Saccharomyces cerevisiae S288C: one gene and its partners. The gene in region 1 interacts genetically with each later gene. Each region holds a gene or a part of one and is shown in the gene's direction. Other genes may lie near its edges.

What was found.
Region 2: mutations in FPR4 (region 1) and ISC10 together harm fitness more than expected from each alone (negative genetic interaction), as found in Saccharomyces cerevisiae (2 studies listed by BioGRID).
Region 3: mutations in FPR4 (region 1) and TCM62 together harm fitness more than expected from each alone (negative genetic interaction), as found in Saccharomyces cerevisiae (2 studies listed by BioGRID).

Annotation. Positions count from the first base shown.
Region 1 is NC_001144.5:1,029,113-1,032,532, forward strand, and holds FPR4 (peptidylprolyl isomerase FPR4), read left to right. Parts: upstream 1-1,721; coding exon 1,722-2,900; downstream 2,901-3,420. Other genes in the region: 60S ribosomal protein eL6 RPL6B, read left to right, coding at 141-656. UniProt on the Saccharomyces cerevisiae protein: PPIase that acts as a histone chaperone. Histone proline isomerase that increases the rate of cis-trans isomerization at 'Pro-17' (H3P16), 'Pro-31' (H3P30) and 'Pro-39 (H3P38) on the histone H3 N-terminal tail.
Region 2 is NC_001137.3:549,117-552,334, reverse strand, and holds ISC10 (Isc10p), read left to right. Parts: upstream 1-1,807; coding exon 1,808-2,611; downstream 2,612-3,218. Other genes in the region: YER181C (uncharacterized protein), read left to right, coding at 539-862; SLO1 (Slo1p), read left to right, coding at 1,213-1,470; recombinase DMC1, read right to left, coding at 2,818-3,218. UniProt on the Saccharomyces cerevisiae protein: Indispensable for spore formation.
Region 3 is NC_001134.8:323,810-327,788, reverse strand, and holds TCM62 (Tcm62p), read left to right. Parts: upstream 1-1,729; coding exon 1,730-3,448; downstream 3,449-3,979. Other genes in the region: QDR3 (Qdr3p), read left to right, coding at 3,844-3,979. UniProt on the Saccharomyces cerevisiae protein: Chaperone. Required for the assembly of succinate dehydrogenase subunits. Ensures mitochondrial gene expression at elevated temperatures and prevents heat-aggregation of the ribosomal subunit VAR1.

The DNA of each region.
Region 1 (3,420 bases):
CTAAGAATTTTTTTGAGGATAGTACCAAACCTTGTGCTGAATCAGCACACGCCATGCCCACCATCAATTGTGCAAGAAAAAAGTAAACGAGTAGTATACTAACTATATATGTGATTTACATCACGATATGTCAATTATAGGCCCCAAAGTGGTATCCTTCCGAAGACGTTGCTGCCCCAAAGAAAACCAGAAAGGCTGTTCGCCCACAAAAGTTGCGTGCCTCTCTAGTTCCAGGCACTGTTTTGATCTTGCTAGCTGGCCGTTTCAGAGGTAAGAGAGTTGTCTACTTGAAACATCTAGAAGACAACACTCTATTGGTCACTGGTCCATTCAAGGTCAATGGTGTTCCATTGAGAAGAGTCAACGCTCGTTATGTCATTGCTACCTCTACCAAAGTCTCCGTGGAAGGTGTCAACGTTGAAAAATTCAACGTTGAATACTTTGCCAAGGAAAAATTGACCAAGAAGGAAAAGAAGGAAGCTAACTTGTTCCCAGAACAACAAACTAAGGAAATCAAGACTGAACGTGTTGAAGATCAAAAGGTTGTTGACAAGGCTTTGTTGGCTGAAATCAAGAAGACCCCATTGTTGAAGCAATATTTGTCCGCTTCTTTCTCTTTGAAGAACGGTGACAAGCCACACCTATTGAAATTCTAAATTGAACTGAAAAAATTATAAATGATTTAAAATAGAATTTCAAAACAAGGAGAATTGATAGAGAATGCGTTGATCTGAAAATACTGTTTGACAATAACGGAAAGGTAAGTGGATATGTAATCTAAGTTTAATCCTCTTCTAATTCATTTTTCCTATCAACATTATCTGTGCTTTTCTATATCCTTCTTTTTGTATCTATAATTTTTTTTTTCTCTTACATAGCAAAATACAAAAAATCATAAATATTAATATCTAAGGGTTCAAGATCAGGTCATCGCCGTTCTGGGCCACTAGGCTATATCTATTCATTTACATTGGAAGCTGCATGGTCTACTCCAACCGCACTGAGGCAAAGTCTCTGTGGAGGAAATGCTGTCCTAGCGAGCCATTGCAATAGGTATAATCAGAGTCGTCCTCCCAATGTGTTAACTTCTCTCAAAACCACCATATAAATTCTGTAACCTGCCAGCGATAATGTTATATATGTAAAAGGTAAACATACAACCCAATTTGTCCATACTAAGTGGATGCTGGGGAAGCAACTACAGTGCAGATGCTAAAGTTTGCTGCGGCAAATAATCTCAACATTTTTGTGATTAAACCTGCCTCAGTGGGGTGTATGATTAGTGCGTTGATATTTAATACACGCGTAAAAGTTAAGTCTGTTGTACGTTTTATTTCGAGTGACGAAAGAACTACGAATAACTTCCTGCATACTGTTGCCTTTTTCTGTATTTACGTATACTTTTATATCAAATAGCTTGGCCAAAAGAAAGTAGCATTGTGTATCAAGTCATAATTCTAATTCTTAGTTTAACTTCAGCAAAAATAATATTCTTCGTCAGACATTCTCATACAATCATTAACCCATATGAACGTTAAATTTCTCAATTTCTTGCCTTCGATGCCCTATGTATATTTTTATCTCAAACCCGAGGCAGTGAAAATTTTAGCTGGTGCATCGAAAAGAGAAGGGCATTGAAAATTTTACAGTGTTAAAAGAAGTGCTTTTCATGTTAGAATGATAAGAAAAAAGAAAAAGACAACAAAATATACGTCTCTACCATGTCTGATATGCTTCCATTGGCTACGTATAGCCTGAATGTTGAACCATACTCCCCAACCCCAGCTCTGAACTTCAAAATTCCGGTTACCATTAGAATCACAATGGCGGCCATCGACCCTGAGCCCTTTGACGATGACAAAAAGCCATCTACTTTAAGAATAATCAAAAGGAATCCTGAACTCACTCGCGGTGAGTACTACAACCAAGATAACAATGACGGCCTCGAAGAGGATGAAAGTGAAAGTGAACAAGAAGCAGATGTACCAAAAAGGAGTGTCAAATCAAAAAAAGGTAAGGCAGTCGAGCAAAGTGAATCAGAAGACTCTGAAGATGAAAACGAAATCGACGATGAATTCGAAGAATGCGTTCTTTTAACCTTATCTCCAAAAGGCCAATATCAACAAGCTTTGGATATTACCATTGCACCAGAGGAAGACGTTCAATTCGTCGTTACCGGTTCATACACTATCTCTCTAACCGGTAACTACGTCAAACATCCATTCGACAATTCTTCAGATTCAGACGAAGATGAAGAAGACTATTACAGTGACGAAGAATCTTCCAATGGAGAAGAAGAAGAAGAAGAAGAAGAAGAGGACGATGAGGAACTAAGTTCCGGTGATGACGATCTTGATGATTTAGTAGATGCTAGTGACATCGAAAGTCGTCTTGATGAATTAGTCAAAAAGGACGAAAAGAAGAAAAACAACAAGAAGGACAGTAAAAGGAAACATGAGGAAGATGAGGAAGAAAGTGCTAAACCTGCCGAGAAAAAACAAACGACCAAGAAAGACAAGAAAGCAGAGAAAGTTAAAGACTCGGAAGAGAGCAAACCAAAGCCAAAGACGAAGCTACTGGAAGGCGGTATTATCATTGAAGACCGCGTCACAGGAAAAGGCCCACATGCCAAAAAGGGTACCAGAGTTGGAATGAGATATGTTGGTAAGTTGAAGAACGGGAAAGTTTTTGACAAGAATACAAAGGGTAAGCCTTTTGTTTTTAAGTTGGGCCAAGGCGAAGTAATTAAAGGATGGGACATCGGTGTTGCTGGTATGGCGGTCGGTGGTGAGCGTAGAATTGTCATTCCTGCTCCATATGCCTACGGTAAACAAGCTTTGCCCGGTATTCCTGCTAACTCTGAATTGACATTTGATGTTAAATTGGTCTCCATGAAATAGGGTCCTTAATGCATACGTATTGATATATGTATCTATAATACTATATACAATTATCTATACTTCCATTACTAATATTATCTTTCAATTTTACATGTTTTTTTCTGCCATAAAAAAGCAATATTTTTTTGCGAGCTATTTAGTGATATAGCCGCCCAGCTACTTGTCGATGCATATATTGGCTGAGAGTACTAATACAATTATCGGAAGACCTCAAAGTAAAATATAGAAGCTTTGAGTAAAAGGAGCTCGAGTTTTAAAAATGACTTCGTAATATGTAAAGTTTATGTCATATATACTTACACGATAAATAGACCATTGATCGTTAGAGACGAGCGCATTGTTTTGTTGAATCCCTTTCAACAGCGCGACAAAAGTTAATCGAGAACAATAAGATGTTGCATTCAAGGGTTAGTCAAACATATCAGAAGGCCGTTTTCTAAATCACCTCAAGAACCTACCACACAGATACATCTTGAAGAGGTGGAGTACCAAAGGGAATATTTTGTACGAGCAAGTTATA
Region 2 (3,218 bases), on another chromosome or scaffold:
GACATTTTTGGAAATCAGTTTTGTGAAATATTAGAAAGAATTCCTTTTGTTTATTTGCTCAGAGTACAACATCTCAAGACTTTTATTCCTGTTGCAAACCAATGTTCACGTACGGTGACCCAAAATGATGGCAGTCATAATCAAATCTAATGGAAGTTGAAATCAAGAAACGATAATGTAATAGGATTGTAAATTACAACTTACAAAGCAAAAGAAGTAATAATAATATGCTATTTAGAATTGCCGATTCTCTTTTATTGATTCCTGTATCTTTTGAGGAGAACTTCTAGTATATGTCTAATGTCGTTTTACTAGAAATGGGACCCCTGAAAATCGTCAGCAACTTTCAACTGAATCTGAGAATGATGCTCAAGTCGTCATTTTATCTTGCAGAAGCTAAGTGCAGGAGTTGATAATACAGCAGAATTAAAAGTGACAACGCAAGAAACAAAAACAAATGCAATCTCAATATTATGTGAAATTGATGATTTCGTAGCGAATCATGCGCACTGTGGGAGAAGCCTGGGTATAATTATGTATGCTAATACTGTTACGTTTATCTGAGGTTTGTGTGAATTTTGTGATAATTATCGGGATTCCATTGTTGATAGAGGCTTCAATACTATGTATACAGAACATACTAGAACTTCTCCTCAAGGGTATAGGGATCCTCAAATTTAATCGGTATTTGCATACAATAATATTACGATTATTTTTCCTATCGTTTTATATGCTTCATTTTCCCATTACATTATCAATTCTTGCATTTCAGCTTCCATTAAACTTGCTAACTCTTTCTCAAGCTTCATTTCATCTTCCTAGATCTCATATGATACTATACCAGCAGCAAGAATGCTACTAAATGGATGATATTCTAGAGTTTCATTTCATCATCTACACGAAGGGATGGGGGCATCTGAAGTATTTGAAACGTTGCTATGATTTCATAATTTATGCAGGTTTAACACAGATTACAGGTCTCTTGGCCCAGTTGGTTAAGGCACCGTGCTAATAACGCGGGGATCAGCGGTTCGATCCCGCTAGAGACCAATTTTTTTGAAAATCGTAAAAAGGCCCAAAAGGGAGAGCACAGCACGTTCTGCTTAAAAAAATAAAAAATGATGTCTTCAATAAAACATCTTAAGGACCAGTTTGTAGATCTGCGAAGTTGTTGACTAGATAAATTATAATAGCAAACAAACAAATAGGACAATGTCAGCGGAGAACATTAGTACTGGCTCGCCGACGGGCAAGCAGCCATCCTCTGAAGTTAATCTTGGCGAAAGAGAAGCTGGAACAAAAAATGAGAGGATGATGCGCCAAACCAAACTTCTGAAGGATACATTAGACTTGTTGTGGAATAAAACCTTAGAGCAGCAAGAGGTGTGTGAGCAACTAAAGCAAGAAAATGATTATCTAGAAGATTACATTGGCAATTTGATGAGATCCAGTAATGTGTTGGAAAAATAACTTTTCAACGTAGGTTTCTGTTTTAAATAGGTAGATCAGTCAAACGGATGCGTCGCATAAATGGCTGATAAATTTTTCCACTACTCGTTTTCTCTTTTTCTGAGTTTCTATATTTTGCGCCTGTTTTACAAAGAAACCAGTATGGTTTGATCCCATGGGCGATGCCACAAAGAAGCTATAGAGAAAAAATGTTAAAATATTCGAAAAAGCTTCGAAAGATTTTATTGCGGTCACTCATGATCATAAAAAAAACCCTTCTCGCATTTGTAACATTGTATTTTAGTTTCTACTTCTTGTAGCAGGCCCTGAAGTATAGATTCTCAGACACAGTGACAAAATGGATGTCGATGAGAGGTTGCATCAAGATGAAAATCAAACCCACCCTTTTTCGCAAAAGAAGTCAAGCAGTTTCTTGATAAAGGAAAAAGCTGCTACAAAATCCAAGGATCTTGAACATATAAGGCTTCGTGACCTAAATTTCAATCATAGAAAAAAGCTAGATGACAAAAAATTGGCAAAGCAAATCCCAGTTAAGGCAAATTTCAAGAAGCCTAACGAAATTGAAGCTCGCGCTAACCTAAATTCAAATGAATTAACAGATATCAACCTTGACTATATACCGGATTCCCCATCTATAGAGAAAATATCAGGGCCTGAGGATTCTATTGTTGTAACGCCAAGAAATATCATACATTTACAATCTGATTCAGATATTATTCTCGAGGAATGCGAGCATAATTATGACTGTAGCCCTTTTTACCGTCTGTTCAACTACGAAAATAGAATTGAGCCCGATGACTACGAGGCTATTATAAACGCTATAATAACTGACGAAATTGCTGGCACATATCCGGTTTTCGAACGGGAATTAGAGTACCAAGAACTGAAAAGTCTTGTCAGAAAGCGAGATTATATTATGTATTATTTCTTGTCAAGGGATTATCGGGGGTTTTTTCAGTTGAAAGAGGAACGTACTTTATTTTATAGGTACCCTTCAATTGCGTACACTAGCCCGTTGAGGTATCTGGATAATGGATCTGAAACCGAGCAGTTTACCGGGGATGATGATGAGGAGCTCCAATCATTTGATTTTGAAAACACATCATCTGTGAGGACTTTAGATAGTAATATATGGCGTTAGGTAATGCTCAATTTTATATACGCATATGCACCATAGTAATTTAATATTTTTTTTCCGAATTACAACAATTATATTATAATATTCCTTTCTTTTGGAGCTGCTAAAACAAAGAATCATAACAAGATATTAATAATATTAGTAACACAAAGTAAAAGAAAAGTTTAATAAAGGAGCAATGTCATCTTCATTAAAAAAGTATACAAAAACTAGTCACTTGAATCGGTAATACCTTTTTCACCAATTACGTAGACACATTCTTTTTCAGGCATATCTGGGGAATCTTGTAACTTGGCAACTCTTTCGTCACCACGCCCTTTTCTCAACAAAATCCTTGTTGCTGACGCATGTGCCAGAACGTGCCCTCCAATTGGTTTCCTACCATCTGCCGAGGCAAATAATGCAGAAGCACCTGGGTCTGATTGAACTTGGTTTGTCAGAAATACTGCAACATTAAATTCCTCTGCCAATCTATTCAATTTGAAAAGATGTTGATTTAGCTTTTGCTGTCTTTCGCTTAGTTCACCTCTACCGCAGTAGTCTACTCTGAAGTTTGCCATTATAGAATCTACCACGATAAGGCGATAATCTCCAGAACTAAGTTCTTCAC
Region 3 (3,979 bases), on another chromosome or scaffold:
AAAGGCAGAACTTTGACGATTGGTAATGTGTTAGAAAAATGTTCTGCAATGTTATATAGAATACGGCTTTCTTTATGTGAATTTTGATATATTGGTGGATTTTGTCATAATTTTTGGGATTTCGTTGTTGTTAAGGTTATAACATTAGGAATAGAGAATATGATAAAGGTTCTTCCCCAGGATACAAAAATTTACAAAAGAGATTGATACTTTTACGTAATAAGGCTACTATTTCTTTCTCCATTTTATATATTGTCACCCATTGTCCTACTATATTTTATTTCAGCTTCCCAAACATCTGATGACTGTTTTTCAATCTTTATATCATCTTTTTTACACTGTATATGATAACATATAATAATATGACTACTGGTAGACAGATGAAGGTTGATTTTGAGATATTGGTGAATTTTGAGGTAATTCTTGGGGTTTTTATTGATTAAGGCTATAATATTATGTATGCAGAATATACTAGAAGTTCTCCTCGAGGATATAGGAATCCTCGAATGGAATCGATACTTCTACATAATAATATTACGATTATTCCTCATTCCGTTTTAAATGTTTCATTATCATATTACATTATCAATCTTTGCATTTCAGCTTCCTTTAACTTCAATGGCAGTTTTTTCATAGCTTATGTCATCATCTAACATCGTATATGATAATACCAGTAGTATAACTATAGTTGATGGACGATAGTTGATTTCCATTCCAACAGATTCTTATTCCAACAACTTTAATATTATCTTCTTGATGTAGTTGCACATAATATAGAAATACTTCGTAGGGAATTAGCATCCCCTCAACTTACAAAACATTCATTGAATTTACCAGTTATAGGGCATGCGTAATGCTTTTAGATGAGATATCCAATGTATACAACTAACCGATATCCAAAAATGACATAGTATCGAGTTCCGGGTCCAATGGTCCAGTGGTTCAAGACGTCGCCTTTACACGGCGAAGATCCCGAGTTCGAACCTCGGTTGGATCAAACTCTTTATTTTTTTAAATTTGCTACTTTAGGTTCGTAGAAAGTCTCTAGGAATGAAATTATATCTTCTGCGTTCGAAAAGAGTAGCTTTAGTTGAAGAAGTTTTGATTTGAAGTGCATTAATGTCTTCCGCTATCTGTGGGAGTGAAGGCATCATTAGAGATAGATCTCAGTGATACCTAATAATACAAGAAGTAGAAATAAAAAATGTGCCCCTAAAAGTACTACCAAGGTATCCGAATTGATTCCTTACGCAGACCTCCCCTATCACAAAATTGAGATGAGGAAGTAGCCAACCTGGTCCTATAAACGTTTAAGGGCAATACGACCGAGTTTTCATTTATTCATTTATATGAATTGCTCTGTCGTGTTTCTCTCTCGGTTCCAGCAGTAAATTTAATGAATCCCCCAAACATTACGGAGCATTCATTACAGATCGGTGGCACCGTTGTATGGATGTATTGCCTTTTTGGAACAATACATCTACTTGCCGAACGTTATGTTTTAGATGGGTCCGCTTTTAATAGTTTAGGTAATTCTTATAGGATTGAAAATCTCGGTAACTAAAATCCGTTATGGCTTAAAAAAATGTAAAAAATAAAGGCCCTTTCTTCCATTCCCTGTGAAACAAAAGTTTCGATAGTGCGATAGTTTACCTTTTACGAGCTTTAACCTGGCGTTATTTTCTCCCACACTACTGTAAACATAAAACTCTCTTATGCTTTAACGAGTATGCTGAGGAATTGTTTGAGGAAATTGGGAAATCATCAAACGAAATGTTCGGTAAAAACGTTACACACCCCAATCTATAGAACAAAAAACCTTCAGGTTCTCAGAGATACGCTCTCTGGTATTAAGCTGTTGGAAAAAATAATAACTTCATCCTCCTACAATAAAACATTGATATATGAACCTAAGTATAAATCCAAGCCACAGGTCGTTAGTTCTCATGATACCATGAGACTTCACAATGTAATGCGTGAGTTACTAGATTCCCTACAAGTAGATGAAGCTACCAACACACGACTTCAATCAAACAGGCCTCGAAAGCTGGGGAGGGTTGGTCTACAATTATTCATGGATTGCATTCAGGACAACTTAACAGCAACTTCAACATCTTTGACATGCTCTTTACTGGAGCACTATTTCAAGTATCCCGAAAAAGAAGTGACCAATGGGATCAAGGCCGGATTACGATATATCAGAGATTTTCTTGCGAAGAACAAGATTATAGTGAAAAGTCAAAACGATGTTGATGCTCTGGTCGAGCAATTGACTATGTCCTCCTCAGACAGCCAAAGCATCAAAAGGGTTTTGAAAGCCATTAATTATGAATTGTTTTCGGATGACATTGTGCGGGTCATAAACGGCAACAAAACTTACGATGAGGTTGATGTATCCAAGGGTTGGAAATATCCAGCTGGTATTTTAGATAGTAATGAAGCCTATTTAAGGTCCCTGGAGTTGCCTACTAAGAAATTAGTTTCCATTGATAAAGATATGCTAGTTCTTATGTATGATGGGACGTTACGAGACGCTAATAAAATTCTACCCACGATAACGTATGCAAGAAAGTTGAGAAAATCTGTTCTCTTAATCGTTAACGGAGATTGCACAGGTGATGCATTAACATCCGTTACAATTAACAATAACAGAAACAAGAGAGAAAATAATGAAAGCCGAATAGTGGTTTTGAAGTACTCTAAAAAGGCGAACAATGACTTAGCGCCACAGGAGAATCTTGATTTTATAAAGTTCTTACGGTTGCCTTGCGGATATGACAGCATCTACTCACCAGAATATAGTCCTTTAGTGCCAAGCAAAATGTGTGCGGATAAATATTACGGCAGTATCGAATCCATAAAAGCGACCACAGGGGAGGCATTCTTATATAACTCCATTGATGCTGAAGCGATTCCAAATAAAGTTCCGAAATCCTTCCTCCAAAATACGGTCACTTTAAGCATTGGTGGACATAACGAAATCGAAATCGACAGAAGAAGAAATGCAATAGATAATTGCTTAAATAACGTCCTATGTCATGGGCTGGCCAAAGGTTTCATCCCAGGTTACGGCATCTCCCTACTGAAGGCAATTCCAGGTTTGAATGAACTGAAAGCAAATGAACCCAATTTCATGACTAAGGTAGGCATCAATGCTGTTTTATCAGCAGTTATTCTCCCATCAGAAGTGGCGTTTAAGAATGCATATGGGTACAACTATTATGAGATCAATAGCCTGATAGCAGGCGCTATAAACGAAAAATCGTTTCCAATGGCCAAGTTTTCTCCAAATTCAGAACCGGTGAACACAGTAAAGGATGGAAACTTGGAGCCATGGAGCAAAATGGATTCTTGTTTAGCCGGTGTAGAAACGTTCATTGAATTACTTACAAGCTGTAATACAATTATCACATGTGTATACAAAAAGCCTGAACGGCACAAAGCCTAGATAAAGCCCTTACATACTTTTAAATAGTCAGAATGAGTCATTGTAAATAGATATTGCCACGGCGCTGCCTTTTATCACTTTTACCTCTTCGTAAATATCTATTATTCCTGCTCAATTTCTCATATGCGGCTTCGGAAAAACTCGGGTTTTTCCACGCCTCAGCAGTAACTCCATCTACCTTTGGGGATTTGAACCATCTCATTCCAGTTTTGGATAACTGCGATTAGATTAAAATATTAAAAGATTATCGATTAGATAAGATAGAAACCAACAAAATTTGTTGTAATAGCTGTGTCCTTGTATCCTTAAAAGAAAACAGGGTTGAAGGCATATGTATTCACATCTTTCTAACTTGTTAACGTCTATGCTAGGACCGAAGTCAGAAAGCGATAAACATGCAAGCCCAAGGTTCACAATCGAATGTAGGGTCTTTGAGGAGTAATTGCTCTGACAATTCACTACCGAACAATCATGTTATGATGCACTGCGATGAAAGCAGCGGCAGCCCGCACAGCGAGCACAACGATTATA